7 linked regions of the Sus scrofa genome follow. The protein of the gene in region 1 interacts with the protein of each later gene in a pairwise test. Links are inferred from orthologs where the notes say so. Each region holds a gene or a part of one and is shown in the gene's direction. Other genes may lie near its edges.

Region 1 (3,324 bases):
CTTGCTGAATATTGAGTCTATGATCTACCAGCTCTGAGTCACCTACTCCCTCCATATGATGAACTGATTCAAGTAGCTGTACATACAACTACCTCAGTGCCTGGCTTGTGCTAAGCTCTAAAACCGAGATCACCCTCGACCTTTATCTAAAGGCACAGAATGCATGTGCTTATAAAAACGAGCAGGAGCTTGGCTTCCTATCGTGGCTCAGCAGTTAACAAATCCGACTAGGATCCATGCGGATGCAGGTTCAATCCCTGGCCCCGCTCAGTGGGTTAAGGATCCGGCATTGCTGTGAGCTGTGGTGTAGGTTGAAGATGTGGCCCAGATACTGCGTTGCTGTGGCTGTGGTGTAAGCCAGTGGCTATAGCTCCGATTCAACCCCTAGCATGGGAACTTACATATGCCACAGGTGCGGCCCTAAAAAAAAAAAAAAAAACCAAACGTCGCTTCAAGACAACACAAAGCCCCAGGAGAGAGCTGAGCAGGTCCTGGCATGTTTGTGCTGCTGGACACAGGGCTTCCCCTCGTCCACCGAACTGACTGCAGTGTGACAGTGGTGGCAGGGCTTCCACGTGCAGAGCACCTGTTGGGTGATACCTGTTTGAGTTTGTTCTCTTTTCAGAACCACACACAGCATCTGACCTGGATGGTGATGCTGAGGCCAGCTTGCATTCATCTCGTTTGTCAGTCCTGTGATAATCACAGTGATTTGAGAATTGTGCAAACAATTACTGAGAGTACCCTTCTGTGCTGTTTAGAATATGATGTTGATAGGGCTGGTTGACAGGATCATCTGTGACATCAGGATCCCTGATGGGTCATTTCTCTTTTTTTTTTTTTTTTTTTGAGGGTCCACCCAAGGCCCCCCACACCCCATCCCCACCCGCCCTCCTGGGCTGGCTCAGAAGATCTCTGCCCCATGAGGGTTCCTTCCTTAGACATCTGGTTGGGGAGATAATTTTCAGGTTCTGTGTCCCCCTCCCCAGCCTGTGCGGGCCCCCAGTCCTCTAAGGGCTGTGATTCTGAAAATAATACGTAGCCCAAGACCTAATCAGAGCCAAACCTTCCTGTCTCTTGCTTCGGTATCTTGGTAATTGTAATGGTGCTGCTGTGAATATGAACATTAAAGTACATGTATCTTTTCGAATTATTGTTTTTGTGGGTTTTTTTTTTTTTTTTTTTTTTTTCAGATAACACGCCCAGGAGTGGAATTGCTGGATCATGTGATAGTTCTGTTTTTTGGTTTTTTTTTGAGAAACCTCCATACTGTTTTCTGTAGAGGCTTCACCAGTTTGCAGTTTGTATCCCCAGCAACAGTGTACGGGGGTTCCCTTTTCTCCACATCCTCACCAACATTTGTTATCTGTGGTCTTTTTGATGCTAGCCATTCTGACGGGTATGAGATGGTACCTCATTGTGGTTTTGATTTGCATTTCCCTGATGATTAGTGATGTTGAGCATCTTTTCATGTGCCCGTTGGCCATCTGCACATCCTCTTTGGAAAAATGTCTGTTCAGTTCTTCTGACCACTTTTTAATTGGGGTTGTTTGTTTGATGTTGATTTGTATGAGCTGTTTGTATATGTTGGATATTAACCCCTTATCAGTCACATCATTTACAAATATTTTCTCCCATTCAGTAGGTTATCTTTTCGTTTTAGCAATGGTTTCCTTTGCTCTGCAAACACTTTTAGGTTTAATTGGGTTCCATTTGTTTTTGGGGGGGGGTTTGGTTGGTTTTTTGTCGTTTTAGGCCTGCACCTGCAGCAAAGGGAAGTTGGCAGCATAGGGGTCAAATCAGAGCTGCAGCTGCCGGCCTCCACCACAGCCACAGCAACGCAGTCTGGGATCCGAGCCACATCTGTGACCTACACCACAGCTCATAGCAACACCGGAGCCTCAACCCACTGAGTGAGGCCAGGGATACTAGTTGGGTTCATTACCACTGAGCCACAACAGGAACTCATTTGTTTGTTTCTGCTTTTATTCCCTTTGCTTTAGGAGATGGATCCAAAAAACTATCGCTGCAATTGATGTCAAAGAGTGTTCTACGTTTTCCCCTAAGAGTGTTATGGTCTTATATTTAGGTCTTTTCATTTTGAGATTTTGGTGTGTGTTTATGGTATTAGAGTCTTGTAATTTCTCTGATTTACATGTAGCTGTCCAGCTTTCCCAGCACTTCTGTCCTTTCTCCATTACATATCTTGCCTCCTTTGTGGTAGATGAATTGACCCTAAGTGTGTGGTTTGCTTCTGGGCTCTCTGTCCTGTTCCTTCGATCTGTGTGTCTTATTTTTGTGCCACTACCATGCTGTTGGCTGAACTAATAATAGTGGTAGAAGTGAAATTTCTAGCTGCTGCCACTTTTTCCAAATCCAAGGAATAGCTTGGGCACCAAAAAATTAACACTGGTGAACCCTGGTGCTGTACATTCCATAAGGAATCTCCAGTTTTCAAATAACTAAAATACATTTAGCACCAAAACTGCACTAAGCACAAGGTAATTTTTCCTTTGATCCAGAGCATGAGCATCTCCATGGCCCCCGGGCCATTCTGCACACCGGGGTGGAAGCGGAGCCCGGCGTCCCTCCGAGCCCGGGGCTAACCCGTGTTCTCTTTCCTCCACAGCCCAGTGACTTCTCCGTGTCTCTCAAAGCATCAGGGAAGAACAAGCATTTCAAGGTGCAGCTCGTGGACAATGTCTACTGCATCGGGCAGCGGCGCTTCCACACCATGGACGAGCTGGTGGAGCACTACAAGAAGGCGCCCATCTTCACCAGTGAGCACGGGGAGAAGCTCTACCTCGTCCGAGCGCTGCAGTGACACCACCGGGTGCTCCGCGCTCCCTGAGCCCGGCCATGCACCCCAGAAGAAGCCCACATCCTGGGCCCTCCTACCAGCCGGCCCCCGGGGTTCGTCCTGCACCACTCTCTCCGCCTGGTTTCCCTTCTGTCCGGGTCGGTTTGTTTTCCATCTGCCCCCTTCGGCATCCCAGGCCCCCCCAGCCGGCTCTGGAGGCGGGGAGGGGGCCATGGGCCCAGGGCTCACCTGTTCCTTCTCCATGGAAACAGCCTTAGTCTGTGGACATCGCTCACGCCATGTGGCCCCCCTTCAGGACCCGGGCGCGGTTTGAATGCACCGAAGCTGCCCTTACTCCTGAGCTACAGCACCCTCAACGGCGGGCCTGGCTCTGGGCGGCACCTGCCGGGGCCCTGGATCCGGGTGCTGGGTGCTCACACAGCCCCAGACTCCGGGGGGCGACCCCACGCGCTCCTAGCAATACTGGGCCCCCCGGTGAGACAGGAGGGAAGAAGCTGTCCAGT
Region 2 (4,080 bases), on another chromosome or scaffold:
AGATATCACTTGGCTTATCATGATTTCTGGGCAGTATGCATCTTATGAAACAGTCTAACTTGGATTTTAAAAAGGGTGAAAAGAAGTAAAGAATGGGAGGTTTCAAGCTGGAGAGACAACTTTGGATAAAGTACAGTAGTCCTCACTTACCTGAGGGCATATATTCCAAGATCCTTAGTGGATGCCTGAAATTGTGGATAGTACTAAACTCTACATATACTGTTTTTTCCTCTATTAACAGGTACGGTGTAAGAGGTGCTAAACAGAGAGATGATTCACTTCCAGGGCTGGTTGGAGTGGGATGGCTAGAGATTTCAAGACTCTACTCACAGAGTTCCCATCCTGGCTCAGTGGTTAATGAATCTGACTAGGAATCATGAGGTTGCAGGTTCAATCCCTGGCTTTCCGCAGTGGGTTAAGGATCTGAACCTTCTTTAAGGAGGGACTACTACATTCATTGGCAGCAAATGCTTTCCTTATTAACCCGAGACTCGGATACACTATTTAGCTTCTTTAGGCCTCAGTTACCTCTCTCATCTGTAAAATTAGATATTTGGACCTAATGACACCTTTTCCAGTTCCCTCTCCGATATTCTGTGATTCTAAGAGGCCCCTCGCTTCAACATACCTCTACCTTACTGTGGTGGTGGGAAGGGGAGGGGGGACGAACCCCAGAAGGACTGCCTTCGTGTTAACGGCATTTCAATTACTCCAGAGAAAACCAACTGCAGATCAAAGGAGGAAAAAATGAAAGGCAATGAAGGGAGGAAGAAGAGATTAAAGAAGAGGAGGGAGATACCAATGGAAAGATAAACAGCATGCAAATAACCTAAGTAGCATGCAAATAACTCAAGATAACCTTCTAGGGTACCTAGTTTTTACAAGGCAACCCTATCTCAGTAGCCCTCTGAAGATACAGGGGTAAGACACTGCTCTCTTCCCAAGGCGCTCACAGAAAGCGGGGTTACACTTCGTATTTCATCTTGGACCTAAAACTTCCACCTCTCTAAAAACCCTGGCTGTGAGAAATATAAGAAAAGCCGACAAATGCAAATATTACCAAACGTTTGAGAGTGCCAGAGCTCCGAGACAACAGTCTCTGGAAACAAGTGGGACCACCCCCTGCCCCGCCCCCCGAGCCTAACCCAGACACACAAAAGAAACCGCCGGTGCACTGGGAGCTGCAGATTCCGCTCTCGGCGGGCCGAGCCGGCAGCGGCTGAGGAGCCCGGCGCCCCCGGCCGCCCCCGCCTCGGCCCTTGGGCCTCGGAAGTGACGCAGCGCGCCCCGCCCCCGCCGCTAGATCCGCTGCTGCTGCCGCGGCTGGCGGACCTGCAGGAGGCGGCGGCGGCGGCGGCGGCCGAGGCCGAGGGAAGATGGCGGACGGTGTGGACCACATAGACATTTACGCGGATGTGGGCGAAGAGTTCAACCAGGTACGTGAGGGCCCGGGCTCACGCCGCCGAGTTGGGCGGCGCTACGGGCGGGAAGAGGACTCGGGGCCCGCCGCGGGCCGCGAGCCGGCGTGGCTGCAGACCGTGCGCCCTTGGCGCCTGTGGGCCGCGCCGCCCGACCCCGGCGCGGCGCCCCCCTTGCCCGTCGTTCTACCGCGTCGTTTCACGGGCCGCGGGCGCGGCGACCTGCCACGGGGCTCCGAGCGCGGACGCCGGCCGCCGTGCAGCCACCTCCTGCCCCTCCCGCGCCTCCGCCTCGCTCTCCATTGTTGGCGGCGGCCGGCGGGCGCTTCCCGCCGCGCTAGGCCCGGGCGGCAGGACGGCGTGTGCGCGGCGGGGAGAACGGCGGCCCCGGCGCCCCCTCCCCCGCCGCCGGGGCGAGGAGGAAGCCCGGCGGGGCGCGCGCCGGCCGCCGCCTCGCCCCCAGCCCTGCCGCTCGGACTCCGATTCCTCCAGTCGCTCCATTTTGTCTGCCTTTCGGTGCACGGTCGCCTCATGGAAGGCCGCGTTCACGGCCCTTTGTATCCCGCGCGCCCTGCTTCCTGGGCTCTCCTGCTCGCGTTTGCGACAGGTTTCGGCGTGGTGCCTTCCTCCTCCTCCCTTCACTCTTTAGGAAGGAGGCTAAGGTGCGGGCACGTTTGCAACAAGTCCTTTGACTTGGGATCGTGTGTGAAAGTCGGTGGCGCTGGCCCTGCCCCGGTGGTCGAGGGCTTACGGTGCCTTTGAGGCCCAGCTGCTCTTGGCCTTTGTGATGAAAATACCAGTTAGATCGGTGGCTCGGGCCAAAAGGAAGACTTGGAAGCGCGATGGTTGGATGGAATAAAAAAGGTAGCTCACCAAGAGATCAGAGTTGTGATTAAAGAATTTCACACGCATTTCATATGGTATAGTTTTAAAATAAAGGTTGTAGCAATGAACCGATTTCCAAAAGCAAAATGTTTAGTGTCCTCCGAGGAGTTAAGAGAGGCCAGAGAAAGTGAGAATGCAAGGTTTTTTTTCTTGTATCGCAGGCCGCAGTTGCCTAGAAGGACTAGCCGCAGGAGCTGTGATGTCTGATGTTGAGCATCCTTGTAAAAGGTTGTTACTAGAGTAGTGACGTTTAAGCTGTAAACCTACTGTTCACATTTTTACTGCCTTTTATGTAGCAACACATTTTAAAAAAATCAAATTGTGCCCGACTGCAGTGTACGTAAAGGCTTTATTTTTTTCATATTTTCCAAGTCCTTATGAGAAGCTCAGTAAAATTCTACTGGTTAATGTGTTTTTGTGGGTTTCGAAAAAACCCTCTCCATTAAGACTCTTATTTGTGACGCAAGATTTTTTTTTTTTTTTAATAGAGAAAGCTGGAAATCCTTGCAGGTCTTTTTTTGAAGATTGATTGTATCCCTGTTTTAAATATTAGAAAAAAAATTCAGTTAGCTTTAATGTTTCCTATTCCGTTTATATATTTAAATGTAACCCGTTGTAATCAAACGTGAAGTTTGAAAATCTGTCTTCTTTTTATTGTGTTTACATTTTGGATATGTGATTCCTGAGATGTGTCAATGACATTTTAGAAAATTACCTTGAGTGCTACATGGTCAGATTCTAAGCTTTTTTAAGGTCTGTAGACAAAGACTTCTAGGAAATTTCCTTTCCTTTTATTAAATGAGTATAACATTGCATAGAAAAGAGGTCCATATCTGCAAGTAAAGGAACAATTAAGTGTTCAACAGTCTTCGTTAGCTTTCTTACAAGAAAATTTACTGTTTTTCTCCCCATGTTAAAAGAAGAATTGAGCTACACTTTTAGAAGTTGAGCTTTCTTCAGAACCTTTTAATGGAACATTTTTTAAGCTTTGGCATACTTAATTTGGGATGGACATTTCTCTAATCTGTATAGCTGGATGGAGTGATACTTGCTTATCCCTGTGCAGTAACTAGTGCTGACTGAGCAGGAGGTAAGGAGAGATTAAAATTTTGTGGCACCAATGAGGAACTGCTTTATAGGGTTCTTGTAAAAATGTAACTTTTTGTTGACTTGTTCCTATAGCATATGTTTCTCACATAGTTGTATGATTTTACCAATAAAATCTTTGTACTTTTGAATAGGTTAATGGAATTAAATAGAGGCTTTGTTGTTGTTATTGTGCATTGATTGGCCTTTGCAATCTACTGCTTGCTGTGGTAGTTCCTGGTTGAAATATGGCCACAAAAAGATGGTTGGTTGTTTTCAAGGTTTGTCCTTCATTTAAAAAAATGTAGGTATCATTGAAATATTTTTCTGAAATCTTGTCAGAATTAGAAGCAACTACAGAATTACTGTGATTGATTTAATTCACTTTCTAATTCGCTGGCAACCTTACTTCTACTGGTTGCTCTAGTAAAGTGACTCTTATTTTGTTGTAGTCGAGTAAAATGTTTTGCTAAATATAATGGGTCATGGCTTATTTTGACTTCTAAACTACTGTAAACATTTAAAAACAACCTTTAATTAAACTGTATTCTCTTAAATTCTTTGTAGTTTATGTATTTTCCATTTTCTTCTGTTTTAAATGGCCATACTTTTATGATCCTTTTTTCCATGTGTGTATTTTGGTAAAGCTCATTATAAACCTGTTGCAGAAAGTGTAAGACATTACATTTTT
Region 3 (3,500 bases), on another chromosome or scaffold:
TGTAACTCCTCCAGTAATCCCTGTCCCTCCCTTAGGAAGCTGATCCACCACCGGAAAGAGACCCTGTCCCGCAGAGGCCCCTCAGCCCCCAGCCCTGCAGCTATGACCTCATCCACCAGTGACCATCATTTGGATACGGCTGCCGCTAGGCAGCCCAATGGGGTGTGTCGAGCTGGGTTTGAGCGACAGCACAGCCTGCCCAGTTCTGAGTATCTTGGGGCAGATGGAGGCCTCTACCAGGTACATGGTGAGAACATCCTGGGGAAGGGAGGGGGGTGGGGCCTAAGGCTTTGTCCAGAGGCTCAAAGGGTCCATTTGGTCAGTGATGCTGCCTGGGACCATAGTCCTGCCCATGCTAGGAGCTCAGGCCCCTAGTCAGGTAGTACTGTAGATGGCAGCCTGTCTCCTCAGATCCCACTTCTGTCCCCCTAGATCCCACCACAGCCTCGCCGAGCAGCACCCACTACGCCACCCCCACCTGTGAAGCGCCGAGACCGCGAGGCCCTGGTGGCCTCAGGGAGTGGTGAGAAGTTGGGGTTGCAGGAGTTGGTGGGCACCCTGTACTTGGAATGGTTGCTCTGCATGCATCAGGGAACTGGGGGCTCCAGGCTTGGGGGGAAGACCAGGCACATGTTGGGGCAGTTGGGGGCTCTGGGCTTGGTGGGAAAGGTCTGGTGGAGGACCTATGCTGGGGGCAGGGTCTCTGGGATTGAAGGGGTAGGGCTTCCCTGGGGCTGCCCACCATAGCATGCCCTCTCTGCCTACAGGCGGCTGCAATACCACGCCCTCCGGGGGCAGTTCTGTGTCCAGCGGCTCCTCTGTCAGCAGCACCTCCCTTGACACGTACTATACAGGCTCCAGCTCCTCTGAGCTGGGCCCCAGCTGCTCACCCACACCCCCACCTGTGCCCCGCCGAAGCACCCATACTACTGTGTCCCAAGCTCAGCCCCCTCCCTCCAAGGTGCCAAACCCTGAGCCCCCTGCAGAGGAGGTGGCAGTTGATACAGCCTCAGCCCCTGATGAGCTGGAGGCCCTGGGCACGCTGAGCCTGGGAACCACAGAGGAGAAGGCGGCAGCTGAGACTGCCGTGCCCAGGACCATCGGGGCAGAGCTGATGGAGCTTGTGCGGAGAAACACCGGCCTGAGCCATGAGCTATGCCGGGTGGCCATTGGTGTCGTGGTGGGTCACATCCAGGCCTCTGTACCGGCCAGCTCACCTGTCATGGAGCAGGTCCTCCTCTCGCTGGTAGAGGGCAAGGTAAGGGTGGCAGCAGGGCCAGGGGCCTCCCCATCCTGGGGACACCCTACTGCCCCCACCCCATCCCCACCCTCACACTGTGTCCAGCCTTTAACTGATATATATTTGATGAGCTCCAGCTCTTGGATTCATTGAGCTGAGTGCTGGGGACATTTGGGCTGATCCCTGAAGGAGAAGAAGAGGAAGAGTATTCCAGGCAGAGGCTCAGCTTGGACAGGGGACCATGAGGCAGGACTGAGCTTGGCTCACGTGAGGAAGTGGAATAAGGTCAGCATGGTTGGAACACAGGGAATGAGGTGTGGGAGCAGGTGAGACCTGAGGCAGGTGACAGATGAGACAGATGCGGGTGGCCAAGAGTTCTCTTGGGCTGTAGGGAAGGAATAGACATAGGGCATGAGAGATGGCAGTGCCTTGCTGGCCTTGGCAGTGGAGAGAAATGGGTACTTTGAGAGCTATGATGAAGGCTTGAGTGCTGACTTGGATTTGAGTGGGGTAAGTGGACATCATGGAGTGGGTGGGATCCTTTGCCAAGGTTGGGGCACTGGGTCACGGAGCAGGATTAGAAGCCATGAGCCCAGTCTGCACAGTGGGGGCCAGATGGGCTGGAGTCTCTCCTCAGGGTTCCATGGCTCCCACAGCTCTGGTTTGGGGTGTGGGAAGCAGTGAGTCACTGGGCTTGCCGGTGCTGGGACACTGGCCCACAGGGACATGGAAGGTGGGTACATGACAGGTCTGGTTCCACTTTGTGTAGAATCAAGGCCTGGAGTCTCAGAGTCATATTCAGGCAATGACAGAATCCATGGCCTTCCACATAGAGGTTATTTACCCAGGTCTGGTACAGGAGGCAAGTTGTTGGAAAACACCCCACAGATGTGTCTCATGCAGAATCCTGTCCCACAAGGTTACCAAGACTTGGGGGCAGTGGAACTACTTGGAGAAAGGGGTATAGAAATGGGCCAGTGCCCTTGGGGGCCTCACTGTTGAAGGATGGGCCTTGGGAACAGGAATTTTATGGGAGCTTGATGGGGAGCAGTGGGGAGGAGGGAAGAGTAATAGGAGCTAGTCCCCTCACTGGTCTTGGGAGGATGCTGGCTTGGGGCAGCTCTGGGAGGTGAGGCTGGAGCCCCTTGCCTAACACCTCAGGTCTGAGTTGAGTTCCAGGCCTGGGGGTCTCCTGAAGATGGTGAGGGGCAAGTGTGCTGAGCCAGGCCTCACCCTCTCCTCCCCAGGACCTGAGCACAGCTCTGCCCTCAGGGCAGGTCTGCCATGACCAGCAGCGGCTGGAGGTGATCTTTGCAGACCTGGCCCGGCGGAAGGATGATGCCCAGCAGCGCAGCTGGGCCCTGTATGAGGATGAAGGTGTCATCCGCTGCTACCTGGAGGAGCTGCTGCACATTCTGGTGCGGGTGGGGGGCTCCCAAGTGTCCCTTAGTGTGTAGAACAGCAACCCTTCCCTGCCCCATTCCTCCCAGGTGCTCAGGAGTCTCCCCTGCTGATACTGTGCTCACACATGGCCACTGGCACTCAGTGTCTCCATCCCACCTCTTCCTCCCCACAGACAGACGCAGACCCTGAAGTTTGCAAGAAAATGTGCAAGAGAAATGAGTTCGAGTCTGTCCTGGCCTTGGTGGCCTACTACCAAATGGTGTGTGCGAGACAGAGGGGAGGGGGCATGGAGGGACCTGGGTAGAGGTAGAGTTTCCGGGCATTGAGCACATGGGGTCCCCTGCCAGGAGCACCGGGTGTCACTGCGGCTGCTGCTTCTCAAGTGCTTTGGTGCCATGTGCAGCTTGGATGCGGCCATCATCTCCACGCTGGTGTCATCTGTGCTGCCTGTGGAGCTAGCGCGGGACATGCAGACAGACACGCAGGGTGAGTGCGGGCAGCTTCCTGCCAGCTGGAGGGGTCCCACCATCTGTAGGGGTCATGACTGACTGCTCCGCTCCCCTGCAGACCACCAGAAACTCTGTTACTCTGCCCTCATCCTGGCCATGATCTTCTCCATGGGGGAGGCAGTGCCCTACGCACACTATGGTAAGAAGGCAGGTCGCTGGCCCACAGCCAGCTGGAGATGGGACCCGTGGTCTGAGGAGCTGGGGACCCACCGACCCTAACCTGACAGAGTGTCCCCAGGGTTCACAGGAAACCAAGGAGGCTGGACAGGGTGGGGGGTAGGACAGGGCTGCAGACTTCTGTATGTCCCTCTCCCAGAGCATCTGGGCACACCCTTCGCCCAGTTCCT
Region 4 (4,092 bases), on another chromosome or scaffold:
TGGCCTTGCTGGGAAGGGACAAGATTGGAAGAGAAGACTGGGACCCAGAAGGCCAAATGGAGAGGTTCCTTCCTTCCTACCCCCTGAAGAATGGCAAAGACAAGCCTGAAGCTGAGGGCCCTCCTGTCTGAGGCAGGGTCTTAGCAACCCACCCAAACTAACCTGGGGCTCAGAACCCTCCCTGAACAAGTCAGAATCATGTTAAACTTTTGTTTGGGAACAAGAGGGCAGAGATGAGGCCTAAGAACAGGGAGAAGTCTCCTCCTGCCCTCAACAAACACTTTGAGCTCTCACCAAGGTTCAAGCTGTGGGGGGAGTGGGGAGCCATGCAGAGCCAAGGTGAAGAGGAAGAGCCATTGTGCCATGGACTTTACACATATTTACTCACCAAAGTCGCTGTCCAGATGAGGAACTGAGCAACAGAGATGTTGCAGATCTTGACCAAGGTCACCCAGCTGACAAAACAGGATTCACTCCTGAGTCTAACTGGCTCCACTCCCTGCCTGAGCACTCCAGAAACACAGACTTGTTTTCCTGCAGGTTTGCACTCGGCTCCCCAGTCACCTAGCCGCAGGCACAGGGCCTCAATGCCCACATTTCAAACCACCGTTTTGCCAGCACTTCCTTCCTGCTTAGTCTTTTCTGGCTTCCATCTATTTTCCCCTTGTGCCAGTCAGAGCGGTCATCTTTGGGAACTGGGTTTCCTGCCCACCTCCATCTTGAGCCCCACCTCCATCTTGTGCCTTGGCAGCCCCCTGGGCAGTGGTCATGCCAAGTCATTCTCCAGCTGCTAAATTCCAGGCAGCCAGACCCCCCAGGGCTGTGGTCTGGAAGAAGCTGCATCAGGCTGGAGCTGGAATGGGGGAGCTCTCTCTTCAGATGCATCTGTAAATTTAAAAATTCCTCTCTCAGGGTTCCTGTTGCAGCGCAGAGGAAAGGAATCTGACTAGTATCCATGAGGATGCAGGTTCGATCCCTGGCCTCGCTCAGTGGTTTAAAGATCTGGCATTGCTGTGAGCTCTGACGTAGGTCTAAGACAGGGCTCGGATCTGCCATTGCTGTGGCCAGCAGCTGCAGCCTGGATTCAACCTAGCCTGGGAACTTCCATAAGCCACACGTGTGGCCCTAAAAAGCAAAATAAAGTTCCTCTCCCATCCTAAGAGAGTCTGAGTCTGTTCATAGGTGCCCAAGCAATGAGGGGGTCGGATGGAGCTGGGGCAGGTATCCCCCCTCCCCTACTGGCTCCCTACCTTTCCTCCCACCTACCTGGACACGGACACGTGGGCCCGGAATGTGGGGTGGGGGGGTGCTGGTAGGTGGGAGGAAAGGTAGGGAGCCTCTATCCAAGGCCTCAAGTTCACAAAGCGCCTTAAATTAGACTTCTGATGTTATCGCCAAATGAGGTTTTACACAGAGCCATTGTCTGTTCACGTGTTTGAAGTGTTAATGCGCTAAATGTAAACATTGAAAATATACCACAGCTTTTCAATCCTGTTTGGCATCTCACTTTTTAAATTCCAGGAAGCTCAAAAACGGAAGAAGGAAGGTTCTCTGGAGTTTCTGAGGGGCCTTGATGTATGCCCCCAAAGGAAGAACGCGGAGTGGGGGCTAGGTGGAGGGAAGTTGCGCCCACAAAGGAGCAGTAAGTAATAGGGCAGGAGAGGTGTGGGGACCCCAGAGCCCCGCCCTTTCTGCTGAAGCTCCTGAGGGGCCAGAACGCAGCTCCTCTGAAAGAGTCCTATCCGCTGTCCTCAGTTCTCCTCCTCCTGGCAGCAGGAGTGAGCCAGAGTGACGGCGAGGGACAGGCCCGGACTGGCTGAGGCGGCACGACCGGCGGGGCGGCAGCTCTGGGACCCGACGCTCAGGCAGCACGTTCTCTCCTCAGGTCCAGAATCCGTGTCCAGCCCCAGCCCCGCGACCTGCCTCCCCCGCAGAGAGAGGCCAAGCCAAGAGAGTGGAGCGGCTCCGCGGAGGACCCCAGAAAGACGGAAGAGGCGCGCTCCCTCCCACGGGAAAGACAGATGTGGGGCTACTGAAAGGCGGGCAGAGAGGCGCGGGGCAGGCGGGGGAGAACAGGAGCGTGACCGGGAGAGGAAAGCTCTCCGGAGGGAGCGAACCAGACCACCGGGAGGTCCGCCGCGACGTCGGGCAGGAGCAGGCGCCGGGGAGAGGAGCCAGGAGGGGGCGTGCAATTTGGCCCGAGGGTCCTGAGCTGAAACTCAACACCCGCCTTTAGAGGGAACGTCCCCCTTTCCCCTCCGCCCCTTCTCTTCCCCTCCCTTTTCCCCTCCCTCCTTTCTCTTAATCCCTGGGACTGAGCCCCGCGCCGGAGCGGAGAGGGCCCGAGGGGAGGAGAGAGGAGCTGCACTGAGAGGGCGCCGGGAGCCCGGGAAGGGGAGGGAAAGGGAGCTGCGAGCCGGGGGTGAGCCTCGGGGCCACGCGCCACCCCTCCCCCCGGAGCCTTCCTAGTCGTCTCAGTGTCCCCCAAACCCCACCTTCAGGCGAGTCCGCAGGACCCTGGTCCCTGCTCCTCCTTCGCATTCTCTTTGGTCCTTCTTTTGCTTTGTGGCCTTTCTCTCGGTTCCCAGAGACACCTGGGCTGCCCCGAGCCCTGGGGCGCGCGGAACGGCCCCACAAAGGGTGCGAGTGAGCAGGACGAGGGGGCTGGTTCCGAGGGCCAGGGGGCTGAGGGCTGGAGAGGGGCGGGTGGGCCCCTCTGGCGCGTGGGGAAGGCCGTTCCGCCCCTTCGAGCCGGGCCCTCGCGCGGGTGGCGAGGCGCCGTCGCCGCGCCCCCAGATCCCCGGGCGAGTGTGCCTGCGTGGGAACCCGCCTCCCCAGCGGCCGCGGTCTCAGAGCCCTTCGGCGCCAGCCTGGCCTCCGCTCAGCAACTCGGAAGAGTTTAAAGAGGGACGAACGTCTCCGTCCTGATCCCTCCGCCCTCCCTCGGCGCCGGACCCCAGCCCCAGGAGCACCGCACTCCAGGCCGGCTCCCGGCTAAGGAGGGTTGGCTCCTAAACTCGCTCGTCCAGCCCGACCGTCCCGGCAGCTTCTCCCTGCCCTCGGGGCCGTCCTGAGCGGCCCGGGGAGGCGTCGAGGCGCAGCCCCAGCTCCCGCCTCTTCTCCTTTCCCGGCCCTGGAAGGGAGGTTTGGGCCCATGCGGACCCGGGGTGCCCCCGCGGCCTAGGGCAGGCAGCTCCCCGGCCTGGCCCACCCGGCGGCCCCCGGGAGGCCGCGGGACAGTGCAGAGCGCGCGCCCTTGGATGAGGTCCCGCAGCGACGCCCTGGCCCGCCCCGCTCCTCCTCCTGCCCGACCAAGCTGCCTCCCATTTGGGGAGTTTTGTGGGTTTTCTTTTTCCTCCTCCAACCTCCGCGGAGGCCACGACTCAGGCGCCGCTGCTGGGGGCCGCCTCCATGGTGTGGGGCAGCCGCTGCTGAAGTCAGCGAAACAGCCTGGCCTGGAGCTGGCCACGCGGAAGGCCAAGGCCATGGCCATAGCCACGTCGGTGAGTCCACCAGAGAGAGGAGACTGCTGGGCAGAGACCTCCACAGTTTGTCCTGCACTCCTGTCACTTTGATTTCTGCCTTCTCTTTGTCTGGCTCCTTGGTCTCTTGCTTCTCTAGGTGGTTGTGTCCCCCTCCTGGCACTTTGTTTCCCTCACTCCCTCTTACTCCTCGTCCCAAGCTCCTTCTGGGTCTGGTTTCCCCTTCTCCCTTCCCCCTCCCCATCCTCCTTTTTTTCTTTCTAGAGGCTGTGCCTGGAAGGAAGGGAGGGGGCAAGCCTGAATCCTAGCTACTCCTTTGCGGTGGCCACAGGAACAGATGGCCACTGGCTGTTGGCAGGGGCTTGTGATTGAAGGGCTAGTAAAAGGTTAGGAGGGGGATGAAAGAACGGAGATAGCTCCCAGAAAAGTGGGAGAGGCCAGAGGACCCAAGGAGGCCCTTCCCAGAGGAGGGATGGAGGAAAGGGGAAAATAGAGCAAAAGAGGGAGAGTAGTCAGGGAACAAAAAAAAAAAAAGTGGAGGAGGGGAGGTGATGTCAGCCAGCCTCTGGCCACTTTTCTGGGACTGGTGACAAAGGGAGGAGACAGCTGG
Region 5 (3,500 bases), on another chromosome or scaffold:
CCTGCTAGTCTTTCATGGCTCCCAGTTGCTGTTAAGTCCTTGCCCTTTAGCTTGCCAGGCTTCAGGGCTCTTACCTTTTTCTAGCCTCTTCCCCAGCACTTATGTGCTCCAGCCATACACAACCATTTTCCTCCCCTTCCCACTCATTAGATTTGCCCATGCCATCTCTTCTGCCTGGAAGGCTCTCCTGCTCTTTGACCACATGGCAAACTTCTATTCCTCTTACAAGAATCTTCTTGAACATTGCTTCTGTGAAGACTGTGTCAGCTTCTACTGCAGATTGTCACCCTGTCTTTGCGTATCCATCCATGATTACATATATCACATGAACCTGACTCTCGTTTGACTCAATTCCTTGAGGGCAGGGTCTATATCTTGATTATCCCTGGGATAATAGTTCTTAACTCTTGTATATCCAGTCAGTAAAGACTGGAAAAAATGAGGGAGGGAACACGATGCTTATTTCAGTACACCTGAATGAAATGAGGAAGTCTTGGGCTGGATAGTCAGGGGAGAACTATGAAGGGCTCTAGAAGTAGCCTTTCCTCTCTCCACTGCCTTTCCCTGTCATCCACACAGAGCCTGACCCAGATGGAGAGGGAGAAGATCGTTTGGGAGTTTGAGCAGCTGTATCACTCCTTGAAGGAGCATGAGTATCGCCTCCTGGCCCGCCTTGAGGAGCTAGACTTGGCTATCTACAACAGTATCAATGGTGCCATCACTCAGTTCTCTTGCAACATCTCCCACCTCAGCAACCTGATCGCCCAGCTGGAAGAGAAGCAACAGCAGCCCACTAGGGAGCTCCTGCAGGTAAGGCTTAAGAGTCCCTGCCAAGACGGCTTCTGCTAAAAAGTCTCCCCTTCTCTTTGCCAAGCAGTATCCAGGGCCCCCTACTCCCCTGTCAACTCTGTGGGAGTAGCAAGGGCTTGTCAATCTCTCTCCTGGTGGGGGGAAAATGTATGATAGAGGCCCTGGTTGAAACACCTTGGGTCAGTCAGTTGCGTTGTCTCACCTAAAGGGCAAAAGGAAGGCCTAATGCTGAGGCCTGTCCTGCACTGATAAGTAGTCTGATCACAGGCAAGGCTCTCCACCTCTCTGGGCCTCCGGGACCTCATCTGTTCATTATGTAATGAGAGGTTCCGCCCACATGTTATTTAAAGATCCTTCTCACTCCAGTATCCTGTGATTTAACTAACACACATGAGTGGAGGACCCCAGCCATAAAACAACAAGCACTTGAGCAGGAGTGGTTAGCCCAGGCAGTCTTGTGATTTAATCTGAATAGTTTGGGTGATAAAGCTACAATAGATCCAGCCCAGCAAGACCACAGGAAAGAAGCTGATGCCTGTCTTGTCTTTGTTCATTCAGTGCATATTGTCTATTTCGGGTCAGGCACTATTCTAGACACTGGAATTAAGTGGTGAATAAGCTCTCCTGAAATTTGAATTCTTTTTTTTTTTAATTTTTATTTATTTATTTTTTAATTTTTATTTATTTATTTATTTATTTTTGCTATTTCTTGGGCCGCTCCCATGGCATATGGAGGTTCCCAGGCTAGGGGTCGAATCGGAGCTGTAGCCACCGGCCTACGCCAGAGCCACAGCAACGCGGGATCCGAGCCCCGTCTGCAACCTACACCACAGCTCACGGCAACGCCGGATCTTTAACCCACTGAGCAAGGGCAGGGACCGAACCTGCAACCTCATGGTTCCTAGTTGGATTCGTTAACCACTGCGCCACGATGGGAACTCCTGGGGGCCCTTTCTAAGTGGCATTTATCAATACCTAGAATACCTGTTTGTTCACTTCTTTATCACATAATCTCAACATCAGAATTCAAATTTCAGGAGTTCCCGTCGTGGCGCAGTGGTTAACGAATCCGACTAGGAACCATGAGGTTGCGGGTTCGGTCCCTGCCCTTGCTCAGTGGGTTAACGATCCGTCGTTGGCGTTGCCGTGAGCTGTGGTGTAGGTTGCAGACGCGGCTCGGATCCCGCGTTGCTGTGGCTCTGGCGTAGGCCGGTGGCTACAGCTCCGATTCGACCCCTAGCCTGGGAACCTCCATATGCCGCGGGAGCGGCCCAAAGAAATAGCAAAAAGACAAAAAAAAAAAAAAAAAGAAAAGAAAAAGAAAGGGCCCCCAGGAATTCCCATACGGCACAACAAGTTAAGGATCCGGCATTGTTTTGATCCTTGGCCCAGGAACTTCTGCATGCTGGGGGCATGGCCAAAAAGAAAAGAAAAGAAAAGAAAGATGCGCAAACCATGGTCTACCACCTGTTTTTGTCTGTCCTTAGAGTTAAGTATGCTCTTCAGAGATGTGAATGGTTGGGAAAAAAAAAAAATCAGAGGACTTTCATGATATGTAAAATTATTTCATTGTCCATACATTTTGATTGGAACATAACCAACCATGCCCATTCATTTATGTATTACTGTCACAGCAGAGTTGAGTAGTTGTGAAAAACTGTGGCCTTTTCCTTAGAAAAAGCTTACCCACTCCTGCTTTAGATTAAAACGAGAGGAAGGCTTAACCTTGAGCCTTAATAAACACCAATATTTAATTGCCAGGAAGAGAAGGAAGAGCTTGCAAAAGGAACAGTTGACCAGAGAGGCAGGCCAGGAAGGAAGACTGTTTCAGGAAGGATGGAGTGGACATCAAAGTGTACTGCAGTTGAAGTGAACCGGTATGAGGGCTGATAGATATTTGATTTAAAAACACGGGCATCGCTGACAGTCTTAGGGAGAACCGCCACAGTGGAACATCTTGGGCAGGAACCACATGAAGGGGAGAGTTGTGATGCAGAGGGTGAATGGAAACTGTAAGAGTAAATGACTATTTCAAGACGGAAGGGGATGTAAAATAAAGAGCTGGATGGGAGTGGGATTGTGGCGCTTCATGGGGAGGGAATGCTTGCAGAAACTAGCTAAACATTTTAAAAGAAAAATGGGGAGGAGGAGCTAAACATGAGGAGGAGGGAGTTCCCGTCGTGGCTCAATGGTTAACGAATCCAACTAGGAATCTTGAGGTTGCAGGTTGGATCCCTGACCTTGCTCAGTGGGTTAACAATCTGGTGTTGTCGTGAGCTGTAGTGTAGGTTGTGGCTTGGATCCCGTGTTGCTGTGGCTCTGGCATAGAGTGGCGGCCACAGCTCTGATTAGACCCCTAGCCTGGGAACCTCCATGTGCCACAGGAGCAGCCCAAGAAATGGCAAAAAAGACAAAAACAAAAAAACCTAAATGAGGAGGAAACTTGCTAAACATCTTTTAAAGAAAAGTAAGATCTGGGGTGGAGCGCCTAGGTTGTAAGGATTCAGGTGAAGAGAATTAAACTATAAGGATGAACTAATCACTAGGGTTGCTGAGAAAACAGAAGGGAACGGTCACTAACGTGTATGTGCAAGACTTAGTTTTTTGGAAGATCCTCTGTTGTATGGGAAGCAAGGACGGTGAGGAGAGGAAGATGCAGGCAAGTTGTGATGTTTGGTAGCCAAAGCCCT
Region 6 (3,970 bases), about 40 Mb from region 1:
CATGGTGCCTGCTTGGCACACTGCCCGCCTCCGGATCTTCTTGTGCCTGGGGCCTCGGGAGGCCCCAGGGGCAGCCGAGGGGCGGCTCCGGGCACTGCTGAGCCAGCTGAGGATCCGGGCAGAGGTGCAGGAGGTTGTGTGGGGTGAGGGGGCTGGGTCCGAGGAGCCTGAGGAGGAGGAGGAGGGGGACTTTGTGAATGGCAGGCGCGGAGACGCAGAGGCAGAGGCCCTGGCACGCAGCGCCAACGCCCTGGTTCGGGCCCAGCAGGGGCGCGGCAGAGGAGGAGGGCCTGGTGGGCCTGAGGGTGGGGATGGCGAGGAAGGGCCCACCACCGCCCTCACGTTCTTGTACCTGCCTCGGCCGCCTGCTGATCCCTCTCGCTACCCTCGCTACCTGGCGCTGCTGGAAATTCTGAGCCATGACCTGGGCCCCACGCTGCTCATTCATGGCATCACCCCTGTCACTTGCACTGATCTCTGATGCCGGTTCCTAGTAGAGAGTGTCCAGGTCGAGTGGCCCACTTTGCTTGGCGGGTTGAGGAGGGGAGGTGCTGCCTCTTGCCCTCCTTGTACTTGGGACTCGGACCCTGGTGGAGGTATTAGGGGAACCTGGTCTTTGGGAGAGGGTCCTCGCTGTGCCCAGGGCAGCTGAGCCGGCGGCCACCACTGGCGAGAAGTCAGCAGCCCTCCCCCACGCTGGCCTCCCTCCCTTCACTGGTGCCTTGACGGGGCTGGGTCTCCGCTTGTGACTCTAGGCTACCTCAGTCTCCCCGCCCCTTGCCCAGTAGACTCCTCACCCTTGAGGTTGTGATGTTTTTGTTCCGTTTTATTTTTCTAACTGCTGAATGTGAATAAAAGACCAAAACACTAGGTGCTGGCCGAGCGTTTCTGGAGGGAGCCGGTAGGGGGGACAGAATGCGGGACGAATCTGTATGCGGGGAGGGGCACTGGAGCATCCCAGCGCAAGGGGGCCACGTGCGGACTTGGGGCACAAGAGCCCCGTGTTAAAGGAGGCTGCCTGAGCCTCCCACCCCCACCCCCCGGGCCCACGCTCTGGAGGAAAGCCGCCCCGGCTCGCAGGAGGGGGCCGACTAGGGGAGGGACGGCAGTTTAGGGCCTAGGGGGCCACGTGACCCTCCCCCAGGAATGCGATGACGTCATCGGGGGCGTGGCCGTCCCCAAAATTGGGGAGGAAGGGGAAAAAAAAAAGCCAGAAAAAGTTTCTGTCCTGGAGTCCCAAGCGAGGTGTCGGGGGGAAGAAGGGGTCAAAGTCAGAGCCCTGGGCTCCGTGGGGCCCTGACCGCTGTCTGGAGTCCCCCATTCCAGACCATGTCCGGGCCCACCTGGCTCCCCCCGAAGCAGCCGGAGCCCGCCAGAGCCCCTCAGGGGAGAGCGCTCCCCCGAGGCGCCTCCGGGCCGCCGCCAGCCCACGGAGCAGGTAAGGCAGCCCCAGTGCGGTGCGGAGGCCACCGGGCCACCAACACTCAACTCTGCCCTGCTGCTCTTGCCTCCCGCTGAGCCTGCCCCTGTCGCCCCTTCCCCAAGCCCGGCTGGAACCCGCCGCGCCCCCGCCCTCGCCCTCTCCCAGCCCTCACTGCCTCCTGCCCCATTCTCGGACCCCAGATGCGGGGGGAGAGGGGTGAAGAGGGACCCAAGACCGGTGGCCTCCACAAGTGTCACCCTCCTCTCCTTCCCCATCCCCACCTTGGCTCTCTCTTCCCTCACCCCAGCACTCCAGTCCCACCCCAGGGTCAATTTTTGCCCCCTCCCATCTGAGCAGTGTTACCAGGCCCCTGGGGGACCGGAGGATCCGGGCCTGGCCTGGGTGGGGTGCCATGGAGCACCCCAACGCTCACAGGTGAGCACCGCGATTAGGGGGTGTGGGGGGGACTTAGGGCAGGAGAAGAGGCCATATGAGTTGCATTCTCCCTGCTTTTGCTCTATCTCCAGGGGCTCCCCCCGGACAGGGGGGCCTTGCGCCCAGGAAGTCTGGATGCTGAGATAGATTCCCTGACCAGCATGTTGGCTGAGTTGGACGGGGGTCGGGGTCACGCCCCACGGCGGCCTGACCGGCAGGTGACTCCCCGCTCCTGTCCCTCCCTGTCCTTGTCCCCCACCCCTCCCCCGCAACCTGGTTCCTGCTCTGTATTCTCACTCCTCTTCTCCCTCCACATGGGGGATGCACCCACCAGCGAGGAGGAAGCTGGGCCACCAAAACGTACTAGGTTGCCAGCCACTCAAGGACGGGCCCTTGTCAAAACCAGTGCTTACCTGGGTGCCACAGACACAGGGTTCAGGGGTTCCACAGATGTGTGTTCTGGATTGGGCCCAGCTCATGCCTTCTGGTCTGTGCTTCTCTCCAGGCTTATGAGCCCCATCAGCTCCCTGCCTACCGCTCAGGCCCTGGCTCCCTGAAGCCGAATGGAGGGAGTGTTCCTCCCACACCACTCCCAGCGGCCTCCTATGGCGGCCCCACGCCGGCCTCCTATGCTACGGCCAGCACCCCCGCCGGCCCTGCCTTCCCTGTGCAAGTGAAGGTGGCACAACCAGTGAGAGGCTGTGGCCCCCCCAGGCGGGGGGCCCCTCAGGCCTCGGGGCCCCTCCCCGGCCCCCACTTTCCTCTCCCAGGCCGAGGTGAAGTCTGGGGGGCTGGCTACAGGAGCCACCGTGAGCCAGGGCCAGGGGGTAAAGAGGAGGCTGCCGGAGTCTCCGGCCCTCCGGGAGGAAGAGGAGGCGGGTACGGGCCCCAGGTAAGCCCTGGGCCCTGGGATTTGGGGTCCTCAAAGACAGTTGGATGCTGACTGGGTGGGGTGGGGGTGGGGGTTGATGTTCCAGTTTTCAAGCTCTGGATTCCCTGGGGGCGGGGGGCAGGTCAGGAAATAAAGGAGGGAGGGGACTAGATCTGCACACTGGCTCCCAGAGGCACACCCCTGGCCCCTGGGCTGGGGTGTTCTCCTGTGAGCTTTTGGGTGGAATTGCCTGATCACTCTCGGTGACAGTATTGGGAGGGAGAGGTAGGATTGAACCCCTGATTCTCACCTCCCAGGTCCCCCTGAGCCAGCCTCCCGAGGAGGAACTTGAGAGGCTGACCAAGAAGCTGGTGCAGGACATGAACCACCCGCCCAGTGGGGAGTACTTCGGTGAGCTGCCCCCCGCCACACACCCCGGGCAGGGGGTGGGGGGAGGTCAGGTAGACAGTGGGTCTGGCTTCCCAGTCTATGGTTGACCCTGACCCATCCCGTCCCCAGGCCGGTGTGGTGGCTGCGGAGAAGATGTGGTTGGGGATGGGGCCGGGGTTGTGGCCCTGGACCGTGTCTTTCACGTTGGCTGCTTTGTCTGTTCTACGTGCCGGGCCCATCTCCGGGGCCAGCATTTCTATGCCGTGGAGAGGAGAGCGTATTGTGAGAGCTGCTATGTGGTGAGTGGTGGGGGCTGGCGGGGGGTGGTGGCAGATGGAGTCAGCAGCAGGAAGCAGGGGGCTTCCATCCAGAGTGGGAACTAGGTGTCCAAGCCCCAAAGAATAAGGCTCGAAGCAGGAGAACTAAAACTAATAAAGAAAAAGGCATGGATGAAATAAGTAGCTGTATACTGGTTGCTGGAGAGAAAGGACAACATTCCCCTGTAAGAGTGAGGCATTTATTTTCGGTTTAGGGGAATGTGCTGAATCCCCACAATGCCCTGGTGAGGCAGCTGTTACTCCTGAAGGAAACTGAAGGTCTGAGAGCTTAAATATCTTGTCTGGGGAAGCTGCAGTGCTAGGATTTGCACGCATACCTGTTCAAGGCCACCTTTAACTGAATCACATGCAGGGGGCTACATAAATAGGTGGGGGAGCTGGCAGGATGCCTGTAAGGGCTGCCATGGGTCACCCCAGCCCTGACCTTCCTGCTCTCCTTCCTGACAGGCCACCCTGGAGAAGTGCTCCACCTGTTCCCAGCCCATCCTGGACCGGATTCTGCGGGCCATGGGG
Region 7 (2,502 bases), on another chromosome or scaffold:
CTGTTCCTCAGATGTTACAGGCACACTCTCCCCACAGGACCTTTGCACGGCTGTCCCTCTGCCTGGAACCATCTTCACCCGCATCTCTCCATGGGCCTCATTCCCTCATGCACAGTCTGCACTCAGCACCTTCCTTCTTCCTCAGGTCTATCCTGACTACCCCACTTAAAATTGCACCCTCTTCTCAGCCCTTCCGGTGTTTCTTATCCTGCTGCTTTTTCCATAGCAGGTGCCTCGTTCTAATCTACCGTAAACTCTAAGATAGAATAGTCATTGTTTCTTATCAGTCACCTCTCAGAGAAAGTAAGCTCTCCATGAGCAGCGAATTTTGCTTATTTGCTAGGCCCCCAACACTGTCCCTTTCACACAGTCTCCTTGTAAAGATTATAGAAATTAAAAATGAAACAAGTTACTCTTTTTTTAATTTCTAGAACACTGTAGTTTCAAATCAGTCCAAGGTTAAAAAAAAAAAAAAAAAAAAAACCTAGCTAAATAAAAACTAAATGGGATTTTTTTTCTCTTAATTCTAGAAATTAAGTGATTGAATTTCAGGATCTGAGATATTATTGCTCTTATGAATCAGCACACTTTAGAAGCCCCAGGGGTCAAAGAACCATGAGTTATTTATCATAGCAAAAGGCAAATAATATGTTCTTTATTGCTAAGAAATGAATGAAGAACTTTGGGGAAGCTTTGGGCAGAAATTGTAAAATGACCTAAGTTTATTTGAATTAAAAAAGCTTCAGTCACTGTTCACATTCTAAAATTTATCGGTGCTCTGCCAGTGCTAGGAACTTTTCACATTCATCTTATATCAGTTTTTAACTTGACTCCAATATGTTGCCATTGAGTTGGTTTGTTTTATAAATGAGAAAAAGTAGGATTATTGTCATAAATGTTATATTCTGATCAGATGTGGCCTTCCAGCATTTCAACACTGCTATCCAGCATTTCAGGGCACCCCATCTTCCTGATAATTGGGTTGAAGCAAGAACGTGCTGGGTCTTTTTTTTCTTTTTTGGTCTTTTGTCTTTTTAGGGCCACACCCATGGCATATGGAGGTTCCCAGGCTAGGGGTCAAATCAGAGCTGTAGCTGCAGGCCTACACCACAGCCACAGCAACACCAGATCTGAGCCACATCTGAGACCTACCCCACAGCTCACAGCAACTCGGGATCCTTCACCCACTGAGCGAGGCAAGGGATTGAACCTGCAACCTCATGGTTCCTAGTCGGAATCGTTTCCATTGTGCCACTATGGGAACTCCTAGGGTCCTCTTTTTGAGAGCACAAAATTTTAAAGAGGTTTGTTGTTTCTGAATATGGGAATAATTGGTGAATTAAATGTACTCGGTGACCTTAAAGGAATGTGGGGGTTTTTTTGGCCAACAGAGAACTGAAATATCCAAAGGAAGAGGATCTTCATCAACATTTATACCTTCGTAAGAGCCATGTTTATTTCAGGGATCCTGCTGTCACTCAGAACATTTGGAATTGATTTCAAAGTCTGCCTTGCATTTTCCTGACTATCCTAAGTGGTACAATATTTTTGTGCTTTGAAGGTAGAATTAACTTTTTTATATTCCAAAGTAATTTAAAACTAAAAGTCTAATGAATAATGGAAGTAAATATTGGATGATCCATTTCTTGGTTTAAAAAGGGAGCGTTGGGCCGGTGTAGCTTGTGTATACCATTGCTGAAAGGAGGTTTTCACAGTATTTGGAACAGTGCAGCATCACTTAAATATGTCTGTAGTGTTCTAAGATGACCTCATTTGAATGTATATGTTTTCATCCTCATGCACATATGTGTCAGTTTTATAGTTACAACCTATACATCTGATACATGGTTTCCAGACTCCAGGACCCTCGAGTGAAAACACTGCATGCTCTCCCCAAAAGTCCAAGAACATGCTAATGCCACACTGACATTAAACTTTTGGCAATCTGAGATTTGAACCTTAGAAAACATTTTCCAAAACTGTGGGCAAGGACTGGTGAGAAAGCATTTCCTACCCATATGGGGAGATCACCACAAGAATAGAATTAAATGGACCATTTGTACCAATTTTTCTCTCCGTGGTATTCCTCTTGCTATTGTAGAAATCATGGATCCTGATGAGCAATTAGAAACCCTCCATGAAGCACTGAAACTGCTGCCGCCAGCTCACTGCGAAACCCTCCGGTACCTCATGGCGCATCTGAAGAGGCAAGTCACAGACTTGGAAATTTATACTGGTACCACATTCACATGTTAAGAGTCAAAGAGAGCAAAGGTGAAAGGACATCCGATCCACTGAATGAATAAATAAATGCACAGAGAACTTGTCTCTTTGTGTGAAATCGCACACGTTGGGAAGGAATGCTAAAAATATTCTGCACTGCAATACTGAATGCAGACTTGACTCTGACATAAATGGATTTGCAGTTTCAGTATTTGTGTGCGAACATACTAGAAATACCAATGTTCTGCCAGGGACTTGGATTCGTTTTTGTGGAAAGGG

The links.
Region 2: the proteins of NCK2 (region 1) and CPSF6 interact in binary tests that used the Homo sapiens proteins (3 or more experiments, as listed by UniProt). The two-hybrid records come from large-scale screens. The link is inferred for Sus scrofa from reciprocal best matches to the Homo sapiens genes NCK2 and CPSF6.
Region 3: the proteins of NCK2 (region 1) and NCKIPSD interact in binary tests that used the Homo sapiens proteins (3 or more experiments, as listed by UniProt). The two-hybrid records come from large-scale screens. The link is inferred for Sus scrofa from reciprocal best matches to the Homo sapiens genes NCK2 and NCKIPSD.
Region 4: the proteins of NCK2 (region 1) and EFS interact in a two-hybrid assay, tested with the Homo sapiens proteins (2 studies listed by BioGRID and IntAct). The two-hybrid records come from large-scale screens. The link is inferred for Sus scrofa from reciprocal best matches to the Homo sapiens genes NCK2 and EFS.
Region 5: the proteins of NCK2 (region 1) and TRIM27 interact in binary tests that used the Homo sapiens proteins (3 or more experiments, as listed by UniProt). The two-hybrid records come from large-scale screens. The link is inferred for Sus scrofa from reciprocal best matches to the Homo sapiens genes NCK2 and TRIM27.
Region 6: the proteins of NCK2 (region 1) and TRIP6 interact in binary tests that used the Homo sapiens proteins (3 or more experiments, as listed by UniProt). The two-hybrid records come from large-scale screens. The link is inferred for Sus scrofa from reciprocal best matches to the Homo sapiens genes NCK2 and TRIP6.
Region 7: the proteins of NCK2 (region 1) and CHN1 interact in binary tests that used the Homo sapiens proteins (3 or more experiments, as listed by UniProt). The two-hybrid records come from large-scale screens. The link is inferred for Sus scrofa from reciprocal best matches to the Homo sapiens genes NCK2 and CHN1.

What each region holds. Positions count from the first base shown.
Region 1 is NC_010445.4:49,064,534-49,067,857, reverse strand, and holds the end of NCK2 (cytoplasmic protein NCK2), read left to right. Parts: intron 1-2,629; coding exon 2,630-2,824; downstream 2,825-3,324. UniProt on the Homo sapiens protein: Adapter protein which associates with tyrosine-phosphorylated growth factor receptors or their cellular substrates. Maintains low levels of EIF2S1 phosphorylation by promoting its dephosphorylation by PP1.
Region 2 is NC_010447.5:33,524,388-33,528,467, forward strand, and holds the start of CPSF6 (cleavage and polyadenylation specificity factor subunit 6), read left to right. Parts: upstream 1-1,280; 5' UTR 1,281-1,376; coding exon 1,377-1,436; intron 1,437-4,080. UniProt on the Homo sapiens protein: Component of the cleavage factor Im (CFIm) complex that functions as an activator of the pre-mRNA 3'-end cleavage and polyadenylation processing required for the maturation of pre-mRNA into functional mRNAs.
Region 3 is NC_010455.5:31,371,185-31,374,684, reverse strand, and holds part of NCKIPSD (NCK-interacting protein with SH3 domain), read left to right. Parts: intron 1-35; coding exon 36-240; intron 241-432; coding exon 433-523; intron 524-767; coding exon 768-1,258; intron 1,259-2,487; coding exon 2,488-2,658; intron 2,659-2,816; coding exon 2,817-2,903; intron 2,904-2,991; coding exon 2,992-3,130; intron 3,131-3,211; coding exon 3,212-3,292; intron 3,293-3,469; coding exon 3,470-3,500. UniProt on the Homo sapiens protein: Has an important role in stress fiber formation induced by active diaphanous protein homolog 1 (DRF1). Induces microspike formation, in vivo. In vitro, stimulates N-WASP-induced ARP2/3 complex activation in the absence of CDC42.
Region 4 is NC_010449.5:75,718,948-75,723,039, forward strand, and holds the start of EFS (embryonal Fyn-associated substrate), read left to right. Parts: upstream 1-1,292; 5' UTR 1,293-3,260; coding exon 3,261-3,503; intron 3,504-4,092. UniProt on the Homo sapiens protein: Docking protein which plays a central coordinating role for tyrosine-kinase-based signaling related to cell adhesion. May serve as an activator of SRC and a downstream effector. Interacts with the SH3 domain of FYN and with CRK, SRC, and YES.
Region 5 is NW_018084804.1:142,269-145,768, forward strand, and holds part of TRIM27 (zinc finger protein RFP), read left to right. Parts: intron 1-579; coding exon 580-810; intron 811-3,500. UniProt on the Homo sapiens protein: E3 ubiquitin-protein ligase that mediates ubiquitination of various substrates and thereby plays a role in diffent processes including proliferation, innate immunity, apoptosis, immune response or autophagy.
Region 6 is NC_010445.4:8,712,051-8,716,020, forward strand, and holds the start of TRIP6 (thyroid receptor-interacting protein 6), read left to right. Parts: upstream 1-1,170; 5' UTR 1,171-1,329; coding exon 1,330-1,438; intron 1,439-1,730; coding exon 1,731-1,858; intron 1,859-1,950; coding exon 1,951-2,076; intron 2,077-2,363; coding exon 2,364-2,750; intron 2,751-3,046; coding exon 3,047-3,140; intron 3,141-3,248; coding exon 3,249-3,418; intron 3,419-3,904; coding exon 3,905-3,970. Other genes in the region: SLC12A9 (solute carrier family 12 member 9), read left to right, coding at 1-481. UniProt on the Homo sapiens protein: Relays signals from the cell surface to the nucleus to weaken adherens junction and promote actin cytoskeleton reorganization and cell invasiveness. Involved in lysophosphatidic acid-induced cell adhesion and migration.
Region 7 is NC_010457.5:80,733,245-80,735,746, reverse strand, and holds part of CHN1 (N-chimaerin), read left to right. Parts: intron 1-2,101; coding exon 2,102-2,207; intron 2,208-2,502. UniProt on the Homo sapiens protein: GTPase-activating protein for p21-rac and a phorbol ester receptor. Involved in the assembly of neuronal locomotor circuits as a direct effector of EPHA4 in axon guidance.